Drosophila melanogaster: one gene and its partners. The protein of the gene in region 1 interacts with the protein of each later gene in a pairwise test. Each region holds a gene or a part of one and is shown in the gene's direction. Other genes may lie near its edges.

Region 1 (4,043 bases):
CTCTACTGAACTTGGATTCCGCTGGCGCTGGTGGACGTGATTTGCTCTTCCAGGGCGGTCCCAATCATCCCTGGCTGATGGAGGTAAGTTCCCCTGTTTGTGGAGCTAAAAACCCCCCGAAAGTCGGCAACGCCATTGGTGATTCATATATTTGGGAATGCTCTGATCGCATTTCCGATATGGGGGCTGCTATATCACCCGTCTGGCTGCTGATCAATTAATCTAATCTTCCGCCTTATCTTAGCATTACAGAAACAGTGCCCCGCACCCGTTCGCCACCACAACGGCCGAGGAGATGTTCGAGGCTGGTATCATACCATCGGATACTGATTTCCGGATCTTTCGGGACTTTGGAGTTGTGCCAGGTGGGAATCTCGGCGCAAGAAAATATCCTTTTCAACCACACTACTCAGGAGCTCTTCTCTTTCAGGCTTGGACATGGCCGGCGTGTACAATGGATTCGTTTATCACACGAAATTCGATCGCTACGCGGTGATAAGTCTCGATTCCCTGCAGAATTCCGGCGACAATTTACTGGCCTTGGTATGGAGTATTTCGAATGCCGAAGAAATGTACGACACAGAGGTGGGTTTCCTCTTTCGAGTGGCTTTTGTCCATTTTTCATGGTAATCTTTCAACAGGCACACGCGGCGGGACATGCAGTATTCTTCGACTTTATTGGACTGTTCTTTGTCCATTACCAGGAGTCGACTAGCTTGGCCCTGAATCTCTTCTTCTCGTTCGGTGCCATTTTGCTGGTCTGCATCTCGTTGTGGCGAATGTCCCGGGTTACTGGACAGACTATGGGCACCTATGCCGGCGTCTTTGGACTCCTATTCCTGCTAGCCCTAGCTGGTGCTCTCCTCGCCGTGGCCTTTCCTCTGCTGATGGCCACCTTTTATGATTGGGGAAATAGAACGTTGACCTATTTTAGCAACAGTTGGCTGGTCATTGGGTTGTACATTTGTCCATCGGTTATTGGCCTTGTACTGCCCATGACCCTCTACTTGACGCATACGAAGTGTGTAAGTAGTATCACTTGTTAACGAAGTTATTTTGTTATACTAAGCTATCCTCTGCAGAACAAGATCCCCCATACTTATTACTTGCATATTGTGGGTCACGCGAACTGTGTCCTTTTGGCCATCTTGTGTTTGGGTGCAACGGCTCTTAAATACCGTAGTGCCTATCTATTTCTGATCTCTCTCATTTTCTACGTTGCTGCTCTGATCATTAACCTACTGACCCGTCTCCATTGTCGCGGTAAGTTAGCTTATATATTCGTGGAGAACTTTTAATGATTCATGCCAACACTTTAGGTTATCTGTGGTCACTGGTGCTGATTGTTTTCCAGATTATACCCTTCATTTACCACGCCTACTTGTTCCACATGTTCATACTTATTCTCATTCCGATGACTGGTCGCTTTGGCGTCTCCACCAATCCGGATATACTAATCGGCGCTCTATGTGGTTTTGGCACAATTTTGGCGTTATCTTTTGCTGTAAGAAAGTTATTCACATTTATTGACTACTTTACTTAATCAGTTTCACTTAGGCTCCTTTAATCAATGTCTTTCGGCGACCGAACTGCATGCTGGGTGGTCTGGCACTGGTTATGTTTATTTTCTGCATGATTGCCGTCTCGGATGTCGGATTCCCGTATCGGCCCAAAACAAATGTCATGCGTGCCGACTTCATGGTAAGGGAAACACTAATAAGCATCCTTTGAAAGACGACTAAGTTCTATTCTTTGTCGGAGCAGCAAGTGCATCGCAAATTTTTCGAGTACAATGGTTCCATCAGCCACGAGGATTCTGGCTACTACTTCCATCTGGGGGATCGAAACAAAGAGGCACCTCTGCGCGATCACATGAACCTGACCAACCTGGTACGCCTGGGCGAGGATTGCGACTCCGAGCTGATGTGCGGTATTCCCTGCTACCGATATTGTAGTGCCCGGGAGCATGCACTTTGGCTTGCTCGAGAGGAGCCCGTGGAACTGCCTTATCCAACGGTCTTGGAGTTCCTTAGCAAGACAGTTCTGTCCGGTGGCTATCAGGTGCGCTATGAGTTCCGGCTAACTGGTCCGCCAAATATGGGTCTGTTCTTCAAGCCACTGGATGGTGTAAAACTACTCCGATGGACGTTTGCTCCCGCAATGCTGGATAATCCGGCCACTTACAGGCCTCCTCTGGAGGTCATGTTAACCTACGGTATTGATAACACTCCCATCGAATTCTTCGTGGAACTTTCTGTGCGTATTTAATGGGTCGTTCTGATAACTATACTAACTAACTGATTCTTAGAAGGACGATGGCAACTTCAATGAACCCGTCTTTGAGATGGGCGTCTCTGGACACTATGTCAGTCCACATGATAAGCGGGATGCGTTGAGCCTGGAGTTCCTTGCCACACTTCCGGACTTTGCCTTCTCGATGGAGTGGCCCAGTAGCTACGAACGGCATATATTCTAGGATAGTTAGCTAATAAGAATACCAAGTCATTGACACTCCCAACCCGAAAAACTTTTATTTTTCGGAAAATGGAAGGGGATCAAACATTGGATGCATTTCACAATGAGTTGGTCGGTAAACATTGGTGGGGGAAAGCTAGCAATGTAGCAAACGGTAAAGGAACCATTTGTGCAAACATTACAGGGAATACTACGACTGCCGCAGTCAAAATATGGGTATAAATAGTGAGGCCTGGACCAGCGAAAGACACACTCAGAGTTCAGCAGCTCGTCCGTCGATAAGCAACAGCCAGCCAGCAATCCTAAAAGCCCAAAAAATCCAATCAACATGAAGTTCTTCGCTGTCCTCGTCTGTTTCTCCGCTGTCCTGGCCATCGCAATGGCATCTACCGCAACTACAACCAGCACTCCCACAACGCCCTCTTCGCCCACGACGACGACGTACACCTATACTACCACCCCGACCTACCCCACCTACACCTACACCACGGACACCACCACCACTAAGCCAATCAAGCAACAGCTCCTGTCCCTGCTGTTCAACAAGAAGTCCGGATAGAGCCGCCCATCCGATCCACGATGCTGCCACTTGATACGATCCTCATCACCTGAATAGCCAAATAAAAACACCAAATACCAAAAAACAAACAAGCGCCGTCTCTTGCTCTCACACAATACCGCAATCGAAGTTAACCATCTCACGTAGCATTGGGCGGTGGGACATTTGGGGCTTTACTTCCACCTCCACCTCCATTTCTACTTCGGCGGTAACTGACATTTGCTCAACTGGCAACGGAACGCCCCGGCTCAGGCATTACCGCCTTTTGGCCGGACCTGTTCAAGAAACATCTGTTCGGCTGCCGCAAAGGTCAAGCGGCACTTGCCACATTCAGTTAGCTGGTGAGTAAGTCAGTTGGCCAGCCAGACATGATCATGGTCAGGTGGCAGTCATAATCCCGCCAATGATGATCATCAAGCCGTTGAGTCAAATGTCTAATGACTGCACTGACAAATTGATGTAGGAATGCAGCAGTCTGTCCCTATTCCTCTCACGCTGCCGAGGATGAGTTATGAATGTCAAGCTGGTCATGTTCAACACGATCCGAGATGATCATAGTGCCTCCAACGCCCCTCGCAATACAGGTGCACAGTGGGCGATGGCTAGCTAGGATAGTTTCTATTGCAGCAAGCAATTGAAGATGCAACTGTGCTGATGATAACTTCCAGCATAACAACTTAATGTTGTGAGATATTATACTAAACTATATTTTTCTTTGCTCTAATGATAAAGTAGAGTCCCCACTGTGGCTGTCATGTAGACAACTCATTCGACAAATTGCAGCATATCGGATGGGTCGTGCACTTGTAGGTGGATTCGATTCGATTCGGTCCGGTCCGGTTCGGTTCATTTGCGCTCCATGGGAGATGGTATTGGCCTCCGACAAGAGCCACCTAAAAGAGGCTTCCGATCGGCGGGTCTTCAAAATGCTAGGCGTTCACTCTTTAATCTCCAACTGCAATAGTGTCTGTGTGCAAAAGTTCAAGCGATTTGGTATAAATATGCAAAG
Region 2 (4,979 bases), on another chromosome or scaffold:
CAGACTATGACAATTAAACACCAAAGTCCTTTACACTCTCAGGTTCTGCCGCAACGACTGCAAGAGTGGAATCTAACGCCCAGCCGCGCCGCCGAGGAAACACGCAAGCATCTTGATAACATTCGTCATAAGCAGTCCCTGGTGCGTTTCGCACTTGCCGAGCTAGAGAAGCGCTCCGAAGAGCTCAACATGGTGGTGGAGCGAGCCAAACGAAGCTCCATTGATACATTGGGGTCACAAGACACCGCCGACATGGAGGACGAACAGAGCATGTACTGCATCACCTGTGGCCACGAGATTCACTCGCGCACTGCCATCAAGCATATGGAGAAGTGCTTCAACAAATACGAATCGCAGGCCAGCTTCGGGAGCATATTCAAAACGCGAATGGAGGGAAACAATATGTTTTGTGATTTCTACAATCCGGCAAGTAAGACTTACTGTAAGCGATTGAGAGTATTGTGTCCGGAGCACAGCAAGGATCCGAAGGTGAACGATACGGATGTGTGTGGTTCGCCCTTAGTGAACAACGTCTTCAATCCCACGGGCGAGTTTTGTCGTGCGCCAAAGAAGAATTGCTTCAAGCACTACGCCTGGGAGAAGATCCGGCGTGCTGAGATAGATCTGGAGCGTGTGCGTCAATGGCTCAAGATGGACGACCTGATGGAGCAGGAGCGCGTGATGCGGCAGCAGCTCACCTCGCGAGCGAACCTGCTCGGCCTGATGCTGCACTCCACCTACAACCACGAGGTGATGGACGAGCTGGTGCGCAAACAGCAGGAGCATCTGGTAGAGTTCGAGAAGCAGAGGCGACGCCTGGCTCACCAGCAACAAATACAAACACAGCAGAAACAGTACCAGGAAAAGCAGAAGCTAATGTTGCAGCAACAACAGCAACAGCAACAACAGCAGCAGCAACAACAACAGCAGCAACAACAGCAGCAGCTGCAACAACCACAGCAGCAGCAACAACAGCAGCAGCAACAACAGCAGGAGCAACAGCAACTGCAATTGAAGCCACATCATCTGCAGCAACTTCAACTTCAACTGTTGCAGCAGCAGCAAAAGAAGGCCCAAATACCACAGAAAACTCAAATTATATACCTGCAGAAAAAAACATAGATTTGTAGTCCCCTAATCATAGCAAGAACTAACAATAAACTGACGTCCAAGAAATATTTTTCTACGACAGTAATCTTTGGACTTACCCGACGCAAAGTTTCTAGTGTCGCCTTTCTCCTGGCAACCGCATAACACGCTCGCCAGCTGTTGGGTCCGCTTCCCGGCCAGTAGTAGGTTGCTACGCGCCGGGATCGGCGGTACGCCCATGTTTGTTATTGAAAACTAAGCATCAAATATGCATTTATTGATAGCAACATGCTATTAATACATTAGGCCAGCTCAACCGTGGATATCATTCACATGGATTACATTAGCACACACCTTAATATTAGTTTATTAGCTGGATTCAAGTTATTTATAATTTCTATATACGATTTGTTTTCTGTTCATTGTTAGTTTGTATTTAGAAATAATCTAGAAAATAAGTTAGCATATTAAATACATTTTCTTAAGCTGTAGGCTTTTTTTAATAATGCAGGTTAATATTACTGCATTAAACAAAGTCATGAAAAAAAGAATACTCTACGCTCAACATATTTTGAAGATCATATAGACATAGGCCACCGAGTCCGGGTTTTGATATCCGAAACAATGGTTCCGGGTAAATGAAGAGCGGGGGGCAACCATTGGAAACGGCAGGACCTTGAAAACGATGGAGGCTATGGATTAGAGTGGGCATGCTGTAGTTGGGAGCCAAAAGGAATGTCAGGACGCACAAGTGCAGTGGAAATTTCAAGCGAGTCTGAACGAATCCGGCTACCCGGGCAATCAAGTAGTCGTGGCGATTTGTGACTGTTCCCCCAGACGAACTGTCAAAAATGCCAGTCGTTGTCCGGAACTTTTCTACATCACACACGACCTGCTGATTCAAAGCCAGGAATACAGTTCATTTACAATCTCCATCGCAAAAAGAAAAATTCCCTGAAACTTAATTGACGGATTTGGAATTGGACTTTAGTTGTCAGAAAGATTGGTGCGAGATGACGGACAATGATAAGAAGACCGTGAGTTTCACACGCTGCACAGCAATCATATTTTTAGCTACAAAGGAGATTTCCAAACAGGAAGAAGAAATCAGGCGGGAGATCGCACGGGAATTTGATTTGCCTGAGCGCAAGTCCAAGATAGCCACCATTCTTAAGCAGAAAGACCGTGAGTACTGCATATGCCGCTCCTCCGACTGCTCCAGGTTCATGATGTGAGTTGAATGGCCTTAAAGGGCTAGATCCCGCCTAACCACTTGTCAACTACGCTTTCCAGAGGCTGCGATGGTTGCGAGGAGTGGTACCACGGCGACTGTATAGAGATCACCGAGAAGGACGCTGAGCACATCAAAAATTACTACTGCCGGCGCTGCAAAAAAGAGAATCCCGAACTGCAGACTATATTCCGCCTGGTGGCCACCGAACGTGCAGCCGCATCGAACGCCGCCTCTACAAGTCTCAATGCCCCGGGCGTAGGTCCATCGGGAGCTGCGCCTGCTGCTGCACCGGTGGCGCCCGCAACAACCAGCCAGCAAGCGCCGCCACCGACCACTGCGGCAGCGAAGCGCAAAAACAGCAGCGCCCAAGAACCAAAGGAGTCGCAGCCGACTCAAGCAGGTACGAAGCGGGATAAGGCGGCACCCAAGACTTCCAATGTCCAGGTGAGCCCGCGGGCGGTCAGTCCGGAGATATTCCTCAATCCGGAGCTACAGGGCATCCAGCAGTGCCACGGACCCAATTGCTGCTCCCATGCGAGGCCGCAGAGCAAGTACTGCAGCGATGAGTGTGGCTCTAATCTAGCCATCGAACGCCTATTTCAGGTTAGTTTCATTTTTTGGCCAGACTATAAGACTCCAATTAAACACCAAAGTCCTTTACACTCTCAGATTCTGCCGCAACAAATGCAAGAGTGGAATATTACGCCTAGCCGCGCCGCCGAGGAAACACGCAAGCATCTAGAGCTCAACATGGACGAGCTGGTGCTCAAACAGCAGGAGCAACTGGAGGAGTTCGAGAAGCAGAGGCAACAGATACAGACTCAGCAGAAACAGTACCAAGAGAAGCAAAAGCTAATGTTGCAGCAACAACCGCAGCAGCAGCAACAACAGCAGGAGTTACAACAACAGCAGGAGTTGCAACAACAGCAGGAGCAGGAGCAACAACAGTTGCTGCAGCAACTGCACTTGAAGCCACATCATGTTCAGCAACTGCAACTGCAAATGCAGCTGTTGCAGCAGCAGCGACAGCTGTTGCAGCAACAACAGCATAAACCGGAAAATCCATAGATTTGTAATCCCCTAATCATAGCAAGAAATAACAATAAACTGATGTCCAAGAAATATTTTTCTACGACAATCCAGTAATCTTTGGACTTACCCGACGCAAAGTTTCTAGTGGCGCCTTTCTCCTGGCAACCGCATAACACGCTCGCCAGCTGTTGTGTCCGCTTCCCGGCCAGAAGTAGGTTGCTACGCGCCGGGATCGGCGGTACGCCCATGTTTGTTATTGAAAACTAAGCATCAAATATGCATTTATTGATAGCAACCTGCACGTAAAGGGGTTGGATACATTGGGTTAGCTCTACCGTGGATATCATTCACATGGATTACATCAGCACACACCTTAGTTTTATTAGGTTATTAGCTTGATTCAAGTTATTTATAATTTCTATATACGATTTGTTTTCTGTTCATTGTTAGGTTTCATTGTTGGCTTTTTTTTTAACTAAAGGTAAAGATAAAGTAATACATTCAGATAGGTTAATATTAATGCATTAAACAAAGTCATGAAAAAAGGAATACTCTACGCTCAACATATTTTGAAGATCATATAGGAATAGGCCACCGAGTCCGGGTGTAAATATCCAAAACAATGGTTCCGGGTAAATGAAGAGCGGGGGGCAACCATTGGAAACGGCAGGACTTTGAAAACGATGGAAAACTATGGAGTAGAGTGGGCATGCTGTAGTTGGGTGCAAGACACCAAAAGGGATGTCAGGACACACAGGTCACACAAGTGAAGTCGAAATTTCAAGCGAGTCTGAACGAATCCGGCTACCCGGGCAATCAAGTAGTCGAGGCGATTTGTGACTGTTGCCCCAGACGAACTGTCGACAATGCCAGTTGTTGTCCGGAACTTTTCTACATCACACACGACCTTCTGATTCCAAGCCAGGAACGTACACTCGTTTTTTCTATTCGATTCCGAATCTTTTATTTTGTAAAATCGTAACGGAAGCGTGAACGCCGGAGTGCCGGGAGATACCAGGCCAACATCCGCCGCCATATGGACTCGTCCTCCTCCGATACGCATCTACATTCGTTGATCTAATATATGCTTGTAATTCCATTTCCAAAACTGTGCAAATTGAAACGCGCGTGGTCTGCGAGTGAAACATACAAATTGTCAAGTCGAGGCCGCTGATCCTAAGCTAAATCGGCTAGATTTAATCCACAAGGGCCGAAAAAATTCAAGAAGTACTTCATGAGTTGGCAGTGGGAAGCCCTCAACGGACGAAGTAATATAGATATTGTGTTCGGTGGAGCACAACACCGGAACGGTATCAAGTAAAGATTTTTTTTCTTGTTCAAGGTCCTGGACTGTACCTACAGGTTGGTGTATCCAAACGATATATATACATATATATATATCTATATAATTAATATGAAACATCCTACAGTTCCGGTTGCATCTTTTGATTCGCGTTGCGTTCGTTACTATATCGTTCTTTTTTTTCTATTTTTATTGTGCAAATTGCCAGTTTACTTTCAAGGCACACATACTCACATAACCATCCGTCAAGTTGCCGGGCCTCTTCGTCTCCTAGTTAGCCACCATTCTACATATCCTGCGAATCCTGCCTCCTTTTACTGG
Region 3 (6,648 bases), on another chromosome or scaffold:
TAAAGGAAACCCAAGATCAATTGCTAGAGTCACAGAAGAAGGAGAAACAATTGCAGGAAGAGGCTGCCAAACTTTCCGGTGAGCTGCAGCAAGTGCAAGAGGCCAATGGAGACATAAAGGATTCCCTAGTAAAAGTAGAGGAACTAGTAAAGGTGTTGGAGGAAAAACTCCAAGCAGCCACCTCCCAGTTGGATGCCCAACAAGCCACAAATAAGGAACTCCAGGAGTTGCTGGTTAAATCTCAAGAAAACGAGGGAAATCTGCAAGGAGAATCTTTGGCAGTCACTGAGAAACTACAACAACTGGAGCAAGCAAATGGGGAGCTTAAGGAGGCTCTGTGTCAAAAAGAGAATGGCCTTAAAGAACTTCAGGGCAAACTTGATGAAAGTAATACTGTATTAGAAAGTCAAAAGAAGAGCCACAACGAAATTCAGGATAAGTTAGAACAGGCCCAGCAAAAGGAGAGGACTCTTCAAGAGGAAACATCCAAGTTGGCGGAGCAACTGAGCCAATTAAAGCAGGCTAATGAAGAGCTCCAGAAATCCCTTCAGCAAAAGCAGTTACTTTTGGAAAAGGGTAATGAATTCGACACCCAGCTGGCAGAATATCAGAAAGTCATTGATGAGATGGATGATGCGGCTTCCGTTAAATCCGCGCTGCTGGAACAGCTACAAAATAGAGTTGCGGAACTGGAGACCGCACTCCGTCAAGCCAACGATGCCCAAAAGACTGCTTATCTGGAGACTAAGGAACTGAGGCGCCAGCTGGAATCGCTGGAACTGGAGAAGTCGAGGGAGGTTCTGAGCCTAAAGGCTCAGATGAATGGTGCGAGCAGTAGGTCCGGAAAGGGTGATGAAGTGGAGGTGGGTTTCTTTTTTTTAAGCTAATATTTTATATATTTTGCAAACAATGGGCCTTGTCAATTTCCAGTCACTGGACATCGAAACCAGTCTTGCCAAGATTAACTTCCTGAACTCAATTATTGCTGACATGCAGCAGAAGAATGATGCACTCAAGGCAAAGGTGCAGACCCTTGAAACCTTGCCAATGGATTTCACCAAGTGAGTTAAATTCTTTTTCATCTCGGTCGAAGCATTTTCGTTCATAAATGTATATAATATATTTAAGACCTCATGCCTTCGATGCCCTGACAAAGCGGAAACCGGCTCCCAGACTTTTCTGCGACATCTGCGATGAGTTTGATCAGCACGATACGGAGGATTGTCCAATCCAGGGAAGCGAAGATCAAGACTACTCCACACCGTCATCCGAGTCCAACAACAACGAGAAGGAGCGGAAGCTGCCGGCACCCAGGAAATACTGTGATTCCTGCGAGGGTGAGTAAAATAAAATATCAAATTTTACTGACATTTAACAATGTTTTTCCCAATTACAGTTTTTGGCCACGATACGAGCGAATGTGCCGATGATGAAACCTATTAGTTAGCTCTAGTTAAATTCTATTATTTCCATTTTACTTTGTTTTAGACTCTATAGCATAACCATATTGCGAGATCTATCAGATGAGATACTTTTACCTCAGCAGAGCTTCACTCAATCACACAAAGAAATTTCTCTACTTAAAATTGTGATCTTGCGTTATGCACACATCCATGGATAGTAGTCTATTTTAAATTGTTTTTATTTATTGAATGCGATTCGTGGCAAACACACAATCGGTTGTTTTCGTAATTTTTGAGTGTAAACATAGTGTAAAAAATAAAATCAAGAACGTGGAAGAAGAAGCTTTTATTGGGTTTTCATAAGACTAAGGAATTAATTGGTAATTATATGATTAATCGCCGCCCTCCTTCTTCTCCTTGATGGCGTCCTGAAATCAGAGAAACATGGATATTAAAGAAATGTTTCGAGGACGTTTTGTGCAGGTAATACTTTGAAACGCTCTTCGAAGAGAGATAATTCTGCTAGAAGATCGGTTATGGCGTTCATGAATGCTTCCTGCGGAGAATAATCGGCCGTAGTCTGGATGCGGATGACGAACTTGTGCTCCAGAGGATGCGGAACCTTGTAGCCGGCAAACAGAACATTGGGATCCTTCAGCAGTTGGCTGCAGGCAAGAATGCAAATTTAATGTGTAATCAGACGGGCTTGTTGGCCAACATACTTGCGGATCATGTTGCCCAGCGTGTGATCCTCTTTGTTTATGGTGAATATAGCCGCATTGGTCACTTTGGTGTCCAGTTCCTTGATGATTCTGCAGCCGCGCCATAACAAACATAAAAACGGGTTAAAGGTGGTCATTCGGAGTAGTCTGTTTTCTTTACTCACTTTTTCTCGCCTTCATAGAGCAGAAATGACTCAAAGGTAGGTGGTGCGTTCATTTTGATGTCTTACTTTTCGTTAGTTACTGCAAAACTTATAAATTGTTTATTAAAATCAGCAGCACGCTCAGCAAAATTCTCCGGTACAGTGTTGACTAACGCCCAAGTGCAACACAAGCTAAAGTAGCTATATCTAGCAAAAAGTAGCTAGAACGCCTAGCTAATTTATTTTAGTATTTTATAAATCATTTTTAATGTGAGCATCTATTAAATAAAATAAAACTTGTACTTTGAATTTGAAAATAATTTAATTTGCTTATGTTTTTTGGTCATTAAATAAATAGCTTAATCACTTCTTGCAACCAACACTGGCAGCCGATACCTATCGCATAGACAAGCTGTTGTGGGCCATCCCTAGGTTTCGGTGGTTGAATTATTTGCAAATTTTTATCCAATCGCGCCAAACGCTGCGCATTCCGCCACTTTCGAGAAACTGACACGAAGCCAAGCTAAAAATACATTATTAAACAGCTGACATGAGCGAGTCGAATGCCACAGATGGTGTCCACGAGGTTGAGGAGTCCAATCCGCTGGAGCAGTCGACCATTACGATGCTAGATGTCCTGGAACAGGAAAAGGAGCTGGAGGACGAGTACGCCGCAGTGCTGGGCGCCTCCGATGAGAAGTCGTGCACTTACGCCAAGGGCCCCATCGGCCGACAGGCTCTGTACTCGTGCCTCACTTGTTGCCCCGAGGCGCGCGAGGATCTGGACAAGGCCGCAGGAGTCTGCTTGGCCTGCTCCTATCGCTGTCACGAGCACCACGAACTGGTGGAGCTCTATACTAAGCGGAATTTCCGCTGCGATTGTCCCACCCAGCGTCTGGGCAAGTGCTCCCTGAACCCACAAGTCGAGGGCGTTCAACCACGTAACGTGGGCAATCTGTATAACCAGAACTTCCAGGGGCTGTACTGCAAGTGCAAGCGACCCTATCCCGATCCCGATCGCACCGTTGAGGAGGTTATGCTGCAGTGCGCCATCTGCGAGGACTGGTTCCACTTGCCGCACATGAAAGCGCCCGGCGCCAGCGACAAGTGGCTGGATGTCTGCAGCGAAATGATTTGCGATGGCTGCATGGATGCCAAACCCTTCCTAAAGGACTACACTGGATTAGCCCTGCAGCCTGTGCTAGAAGATGCGAAGGAGGACAAGCCGGAGGCTGACGATAGCCAGCTGAAGAACGAGTTGGACCGCAGCATCTGCGATATCATGAAAGTTCCTGAAGGTGAATCTCAGCCAGACGAAGGCGAACCCAGCCAGAAGCGCGCCAAACTGGACGATTGTCGTCGGCCCAAACCAACCAAGGAGCATCAGGGTGAGTAAATTAATATAGATATACATGCGTATGCTCAAAAAAAAAACATATTTATGCAAAAGCAACCTTAATACATGAAAAGCAAGTCAAAGTTCTTCTTGCCATCGCCCAAGTAAAGGAAACCATGCTTGTGGGAGTTGATTTTGTGAAAGAATGTCATGCCCAACCAAAGGCACGACTTGATTATTACCAAACCCTCGTTCCGTTGCATATTCAGGGCAAAAGCCTGACACAGTGGTATTACGCAGTCAATGGTGTCCAGAAAGTCAATAGCATAGTTATAGTCGCTCCTCTTGGCCAAATTGACTTTGAGATCATTGCGGGGCAGGCGATAGAGCTGGTAATATGATTGGTTGTCGATCTGCAAGTCATTCAGTCCACGAAACATCTGGTTGGGTATAACACGACCATCGGTCATCTTGTAAAAGGCTCCGCGTGGGCAAATGGCACACTCCTCTGTTATAATAAACACAATGGCTGCCAGCCGTTCCTCCTCCTTAAGCTTGACCACTTCAGGGCGGCTGATACCAGCCACCTGATTGCCTACGATGTCAAAAGTGGGGTCCTGTGTGCGTACAATATCAGAAAAACCACCACCACATTTACGTACTATCAACTCACCAGCTTAACGTAGGTCATCAGGCTGGGATCTCCTATAAATGGCTCCCTTGCCAATATAGTCGCCTGAAATATCTTGGGGCTCTGTACGAACGGCAGCAACTGCCATTGGAACTGGTCCAGACTGTAGAAATACTTGCGATCCTTGAGACAGTCATTAGTGTAGCCAAAGGCAATGTAGTAATCGTTCTTGGTGGCCGTAATGCGACCCCAAAGATACATGCCCGTAAAACGATTGTCATTTTGTAAAGCGATCAGCGAGTTTTCAATCAAGATGCGCTGCTCCGGCGACAGCTTCATGCCGCAGTACATTAGGCAGTCGAGGCCCTCGGTGAAGAACTCCAAATTCATGACGAAAGTATCTTAGCAATTTATATGTGAAGTGTTGAAATAAAATATGGATTTAAGTGCTGAGAGTATTTGAAAGAAAACTCAGAACCGTAAAAAAAAATATGTTAGCGGAATGGATTTTTAATTACATGGCATGCATAAATCAGCACAAACTCTTTGAACTGCCAATTTCCCCCATTTATTCATCTCTACCCTTTCTCTTTCAAGGAGCTGCTTTCTGGACAAATGACTGGCGAAAATCACTCTGTCAGTGCTCCGAATGCCTGTCGCTTTACAAGGAACTTGCCGTGGAGTTTCTGCTGGATGTCGAGGATTCGGCTAAGACGTACGAGGAGCGCGGCATGAAGCGGGCTGAAGAGAATTCCAGTTATGAGCAAGGAATCCGGGCACTGGCCTCCATTGACCGGACACAGCAAATCGATGCGATTACCGAATACAATCGCATGAAGGACAAGCTAAAGGAATACCTGCAGGCATTCGCCGCCAGCAAGAAGGTAGTGACCGAGGAGGATATCAATCGGTTCTTTGCCGGCATGCGCAATGAGAACAATGCCAACCTGGGTCAGCCCTATTTCTGTCGCTAAACAGTTAGCACTCTATATTACTCTAGTATTACCCACATTCCCCCATGAAAGCGAAACATACATACATACATCATGTAAATTCTAAAGTTATATTTTATTTAAACAATAATCATTTTCAATTCACTTTTGTCAATAACGAAAAGTCGTAACAAGGCATCGGGCAATGAGATTCGCATTTCCCTCATTAAATTTATGTACATTGCGGTAAAATAGAATTATATAAGACAGGTTTTGTGTTGAAGTTCATTTTGGATTGAGACCTTTTTACATGTAGCTCTAATTGGTTAATTTCCGATATATTTTATGAAATATATGTACACTAGTATTTAGCAAAGTTTGTTGTTCATTTGAATGGCTGAATTCCCAAGCTATTGAGTTCTGCCTCAATGTCCTGGATAAGTTCGCTGGTGTCAATGGGCGCCATGCCTATGCTGCTGGAAATTAGATCACTAAACGATTGGGTGGGTTCATCTGCTGGAGGTTGCTGCTCCTGTGGCTGCTGTTGCTGTTGGTACTGCGACTGTTCTGGATGGGATTGGGCCAGATATGGAATGGACTCTGGCTGCAATTGCGGCAGGAACTGCTGAGTCTGTTGATATACCTGTTTAATGCCAAAATTTCCTTGTGGCGGTATGCTTATGGCACTCATTTTCTGACTTAAAAAGTCATTGTTATTGTTATTAATTAGTACATTGTTGTTATTATTGATTGGTGTCATAGAGCCACCACTGAAATGGGTAGGACTACAGCCGTTTACCGGAAAGTTTGAATTCTCCGGCAGATACATATGGTTATTCCTCTGTCCGATTTGAAACGGCGGAATGCTATCCACTGTACTGCAATTGGACGAAGGCGATGCGAAATTCCCATTAAATGTGAAGTTTGTGGCATCTGGCAAATAAAGATGAGTTTGATTTTGCCCCATTTGCATCGGCGGAATACTATCCACTGTACTGCAGTTGGATCGAGGCGAAGCGAAATTGCGTTCCACTGATGGACACTGGCTACTCTGGCTATCCACATCCATGAATCCATTCTCCATCTTGATATCCTGCACAAAATTGGGACTTCCGCCGGGAAACATCAAAGGCATACCAGGCGACACCTGTGTCTGCGGTGTTGTGGTCGCAATTTGTGGCTTGGAAAATATCGTATACTGGCCTAGAAAATAAATAAAAAGTTGTTAGCCTTGTGTTTCCAGTATTAACGAGAAAAGCGTTTCAAAACTTAAAATGCTTTTATTAAGATAAGCATAATTAAGATAAAACTCAGGTAAAACTAAAGCAATTTGCGAGAACTCAAAAGGGACAACAGCAGCAAGCCACAACATCAACCTGCCTTGGCAGTATCAACTTACATTATTTGATGTCCAACTTTGGTGGCAAAAATGGAGTTTGATGGAAACTAGACAAAAATTGGAAGGGTAGACACATTTTCGG
Region 4 (4,633 bases), on another chromosome or scaffold:
TGGTCCGCTGTGACCACGCTCTTTGTTGTAGTTTTTTGTGAATGCGCAATTGTTCAGTGTCGTCATGGCTGTGGCATGCACAAAGCGCCGATTGCAACGCCCATCCATCCACCCAGCAACCCCCCCCCCCCCCCACCTACTAAAGCTTTCAGGATATGCCATCCAACTACCAACTACCATACCGACCAAAACGCTTTTTTTTCGGCGCTGACATGTCCAGGCACTGGGGCAAAAACAAACCCATATATGTATATTCAATAGGCCGGGCGCTGCCAGAGTGTTTTCCGACGTTTTTCTGTAATTCGTTGTAGGTTTTTTCCAAGTTGGCTTTCGGCCGGTCCGAAAAAAGCGGCCTGCCTACATAAAGGCGCTAGCATATTAAAGGCTTAAACCCACTCAACGGCAGATGCCATATTGTTGAAATATATGCAGATACGTCGCGCATACGTCATGTGAAGATGGAATCCGGTTTGCAAAATGCATTCCATTCAAGCAGCGTTCTGTGATTTTTCATTGCAATCGGTTAAGCAATCGAATCCACCAGATTTATGTATTGTAAGCATATATTTCCATTCAAAGCTCAAAGCGATTTTCACCTTACCTGCACAACAAAAACACTACACTAGGGTGTGATCGTAGAGCTCGGTTTTTCAAATTTCGATCGAAGTGGGCCTGGATTATTGTGCAATGCTGTCGTCCTACTGTTATATCTCATTCAGTTTCCTGTTTCGCTCCGAATAACTTCCAAATTGAACAGTAAAAATTTGTAACAAAAATAAAGTATAATATTTTTCTAGAAATTTTATTTTGGAAAACTTAAGTCGAAAACATGTGCTCTCCGTGCGGTCCTTGTAGTCCATGCGATCCCTGCTGCGGTCCCTTCGAGTGCTCACCCAAGTGCTATAATGCCGCCCAATTGGAGGCCTTGCCACAATGTGCTCCACGTATTCCACCTCCCTTCCCCAAATGCATCACCGTGCAGCAACCACCACGCATGATCTGCAAGAAACGCGTGGTGTTCACGGAGAAGATTGTGCCGGAGCCAATGGTGGTTAACCGATGCAGACAGATTACCATTCCAAAGGTCGTTGATGCCACGCGGGTGATCAAGGTGCCCAAGCTGATTTGGGTGTCGCAGATGGTGCGAGAACCCAGAGTAATCTACTACCCCTCGATGATCCCCGATCCCTATGTGGTGTGCTATCCCAAGCGCGTCTGCGAACCCCGGGAGGTGTGTCAGTCGATCCTGTGCCAGCCGAAGCCACAGACCATCGACATTCCGCCGCCAAGGGAGTACTGCTGCTATCCAAATGGACCCATCAACTACAAGCCCAGTGCAGCGTGCCCACCCTGCCCCATTGGACCATGTGCTCCTGGAGGACCCTGCTGTCCGCTGCCCTGCTTCTCCACAAACCAGTATCCCGTTGCCGAGGGTAGGTGCGGACCCTGTGGACCTTGCGGTCCAGGATGCGGACCCTGCGGTCCGCGATGTGGTCCCTGCGGACCCGGCCCGTGCGGACCCTGTGGGCCGAGATGCGGTCCGGGTGGACCGTGCGCCGTGCCCAATTGCGGGCCCTGCGGCCTCACAATGCCGTCGGGTCCGTTTGTCCCGGCTCCGTGTGGACCCTGTGCTCCATGCGGGCCATGTGGACCGCTCGGCAATAGTCCTTGCGGTCCTTGCGGACCCTGCGGACCCTGTTCGCCCCCGTGTCCGTACGAGTCACCCGAGTGCGGCCCCTGCTACCCGTGCGCCCCAACTCCCTGGAATACCCACTGCGGCCCAGTTGGTCCTTGCGGTCCTCAAGTGCCTTGTGGACCCAGCGGCCCCTGTTAACATCATCGTTGTGCTGCCTGGATTGTTGTCAGAAACCGGTGCCCAGTGGACCAACTTGTCTATCACCAATACAGATTGCCATAGTGTATTCTCGCCGTTCTGCTCAAACACCACCAAAAAAGTCTACAGTTCTCTATACTTTGTCAACGCATGGACGACTCATTGGCTGTAAATAAAAATCGGATTTATGCATATATAAGGTTTTTTCAATTTCTTTTGACAGGTTATGCAATGGTTTCTATCCAGATAAAATTTTCTACCAAATTTTTGTCAAATAGTAGGCCTTGCCTCTGCTTGTCAATCTACCTATGTTCGTTACTCAGGCTTAGCTCGCATTTTGAATCCGGTTTCGCTTCGATACACTTCTAAATTTCTCTGATCAAATTTTATAAGAAACAAAAAACAAAAATTAACTTTTTACTCTTTCGGTTTATTCTAGTCGAAACTTAAAATGTGCTCTCCGTGCGGTCCTTGTAGTCCATGCGATCCCTGCTGCGGTCCCTTCGAGTGCTCACCCAAGTGCTACAATGCCGCCCAATTGGAGGCCTTGCCACAATGTGCTCCACGTATTCCACCACCCTTCCCCAAATGCATCACCGTGCAGCAACCACCACGCATGATCTGCAAGAAACGCGTTGTGTTCACGGAGAAGATTGTGCCGGAGCCAATGGTGGTTAACCGATGCAGGCAGATCACCATTCCAAAGGTCGTTGATGCCACGCGGGTGATCAAGGTGCCCAAGCTGATTTGGGTGTCGCAGATGGTGCGAGAACCCAGAGTAATCTACTACCCCTCGATGATCCCCGACCCCTATGTGGTGTGCTATCCCAAGCGCGTCTGCGAACCACGTGAGGTGTGTCAGTCGATCCTCTGCCAGCCGAAGCCCCAAACCATCGACATTCCGCCGCCGAGGGAGTACTGCTGCTATCCAAATGGACCCATCAACTACAAGCCCAGTGCAGCGTGCCCACCCTGCCCCATTGGACCATGTGCTCCTGGAGGACCCTGCTGTCCGCTGCCCTGCTTCTCCACAAACCAATACCCAGTGGCTGAGGGCAGATGCGGACCATGTGGACCCTGTGGACCCGGATGCGGACCTTGCGGACCCTGCGGACCTTGGGGACCAGGATGCGGTCCTTGCGGACCCTGTGGACCCTGCGGACCCTTCGGACCAGGCTGTGGTCCATGCGGACCGTGTGGACCCTGCGGACCTGGCCCTTGTGGCTTCGGTCCTTGCGGACCATGCTGATCTGTAAAACAGCTGGAAAGATCTACTTGACGTCTGCCAAAAACATTTTGTGACAACTCCGCGTTATGGAAGTCCACATCCGCGCTCAATTATATGACAGTCCAAATTAACTTTGCAAGTTTTGTAAATTAAAGAAGTGCATTGATACAATATTTAAACCACATTTTTTCTTCGGGCATTTGTTTCGGAAATTTCGTTGTTTCATTGCATTTAATATGCTATGTATTTTTCAGATAACGAAAGTTGAGATTCGGGATTTTTGTTTCGAAAGGCCTGTTGGGGAATTTTTATTTTATTTTATTATTATTTTAAAAACTCATACTTGTTAGTTCACCAGTGTAGCCCTGAGTCACCTGTCAGCTTGTGGACTTACTGGTAATAGTTGTAGTAGTCATATCCAAATTATTCTTGATCTTAAATCATGTCGAAATATGTGGCTAGAGTGGGCCCAGCGGTTTTCTCCAAGTTGGGAAAGTGGGCCTACAACATGTCTGGATTCAACCAATACGGCCTGTATCGCGATGACTGTCTGTACGAGAATGAGGATGTGGCAGAAGCAGTGCGTCGTCTGCCCCGCAAACTGTACGATGAACGCAACTATCGCATTCTTCGAGCACTGCACCTTTCCATGACCAAGACGATCCTGCCCAAGGAGCAGTGGACCAAGTACGAGGAGGACATCAAGTACTTGGAGCCCTATCTTAACGAAGTGCAAAAGGAGCGCGAAGAGCGTGAGGAATGGAGCAAAACTCATTGATCCGGATACTTCGGTTACAAAGAATGTCATAACCAAAACATAAAGGTTATTTAAATAAATCGTTAATATAAATAGGCATAGAAAAAAAAACAACTTTAATTATCTGGTTTTAATATCATAACATCTAATATCACTTTATCGCCAGCTTTTTTTAAGCGCGTCTCTCAATATCGTCAGCCGTTTAAAAATCCCCTGCGATCCACAGCAATGTCAACGCAAATAATTTTCGCATTAAGTGCATTCGCATAAATACAATATATGAAATTCATTAACAGCGAATACAATACAAATTAGTGCTGCTGGGTGGGGCGTGAGCCGCCCATTGAACATGTGTATGCCGCCCCACGATTTAAAATGACAGTGGAGGAGTGGGCGTGGCAGCGTCAGCGGCAAACAAAATGCGTGTGCATGGCCCGCACATCCTGTCAATCCTCGTATACTTATGCGCATCCTGTTTAAAATGCAGCAAACAGCAACAATGCAGTTGCAGTTGCGATTGCCGTTGCAGATGCAGATACTTTCGCAGTCGTATATATCTGCATCTCTGCCGCTGTCTGATTGTTCTGGCGCTGCCATTCGACCGGAAGAAATTATTGTTATTCGAATTGATCTGCCATAGTTTCGATTTCGATGTTGGCCACTGCGATAGGCAATGCTCCTGCCATGGAGCGATATCGCTGCGTCTGCGGCCAGTAACTGCCAGAGTTCTGATAACGTCAACGCAGGAGGATGCAGCAAACGTAATGGTTACCCTGTAATGTTAAGGGCTGAAGGTATGTAACGCTGTTCAAAA

The links.
Region 2: the proteins of CG13159 (region 1) and CG17440 interact in a two-hybrid assay, tested with the Drosophila melanogaster proteins (one large-scale study listed by BioGRID).
Region 3: the proteins of CG13159 (region 1) and CG15141 interact in a two-hybrid assay, tested with the Drosophila melanogaster proteins (one large-scale study listed by BioGRID).
Region 4: the proteins of CG13159 (region 1) and Mst98Cb interact in a two-hybrid assay, tested with the Drosophila melanogaster proteins (one large-scale study listed by BioGRID).

Annotation. Positions count from the first base shown.
Region 1 is NT_033778.4:12,372,566-12,376,608, forward strand, and holds CG13159 (uncharacterized protein), read left to right. Parts: upstream 1-2,720; 5' UTR 2,721-2,803; coding exon 2,804-3,034; 3' UTR 3,035-3,113; downstream 3,114-4,043. Other genes in the region: CG13160 (uncharacterized protein), read left to right, coding at 1-83, 245-365, 431-585, 642-1,025, 1,083-1,263, 1,320-1,504, 1,558-1,701, 1,765-2,256 and 1 more.
Region 2 is NC_004354.4:9,266,918-9,271,896, reverse strand, and holds CG17440 (uncharacterized protein), read left to right. Parts: upstream 1-1,971; 5' UTR 1,972-2,102; coding exon 2,103-2,126; intron 2,127-2,186; coding exon 2,187-2,320; intron 2,321-2,382; coding exon 2,383-2,926; intron 2,927-2,992; coding exon 2,993-3,391; 3' UTR 3,392-3,459; downstream 3,460-4,979. Other genes in the region: Cfp1 (CXXC finger protein 1), read left to right, coding at 43-1,122.
Region 3 is NT_033779.5:17,407,963-17,414,610, forward strand, and holds CG15141 (uncharacterized protein), read left to right. Parts: upstream 1-2,678; 5' UTR 2,679-2,818; coding exon 2,819-3,656; intron 3,657-3,686; exon of another isoform or gene 3,687-3,723; coding exon of another isoform or gene 3,724-4,221; intron 4,222-4,277; coding exon of another isoform or gene 4,278-4,625; exon of another isoform or gene 4,626-4,671; intron 4,672-4,832; coding exon 4,833-5,209; 3' UTR 5,210-5,537; downstream 5,538-6,648. Other genes in the region: CLIP-190 (cytoplasmic linker protein 190), read left to right, coding at 1-863, 931-1,061, 1,129-1,337, 1,397-1,443; Polr2J (RNA polymerase II subunit J), read right to left, coding at 1,796-1,831, 1,894-2,068, 2,126-2,215, 2,290-2,342; Rsph9 (radial spoke head protein 9), read right to left, coding at 3,724-4,221, 4,278-4,625.
Region 4 is NT_033777.3:28,290,630-28,295,262, forward strand, and holds Mst98Cb (Male-specific RNA 98Cb), read left to right. Parts: upstream 1-2,168; 5' UTR 2,169-2,285; coding exon 2,286-3,083; 3' UTR 3,084-3,234; downstream 3,235-4,633. Other genes in the region: Mst98Ca (Male-specific RNA 98Ca), read left to right, coding at 830-1,834; UQCR-14L (Ubiquinol-cytochrome c reductase 14 kDa subunit-like), read left to right, coding at 3,505-3,840.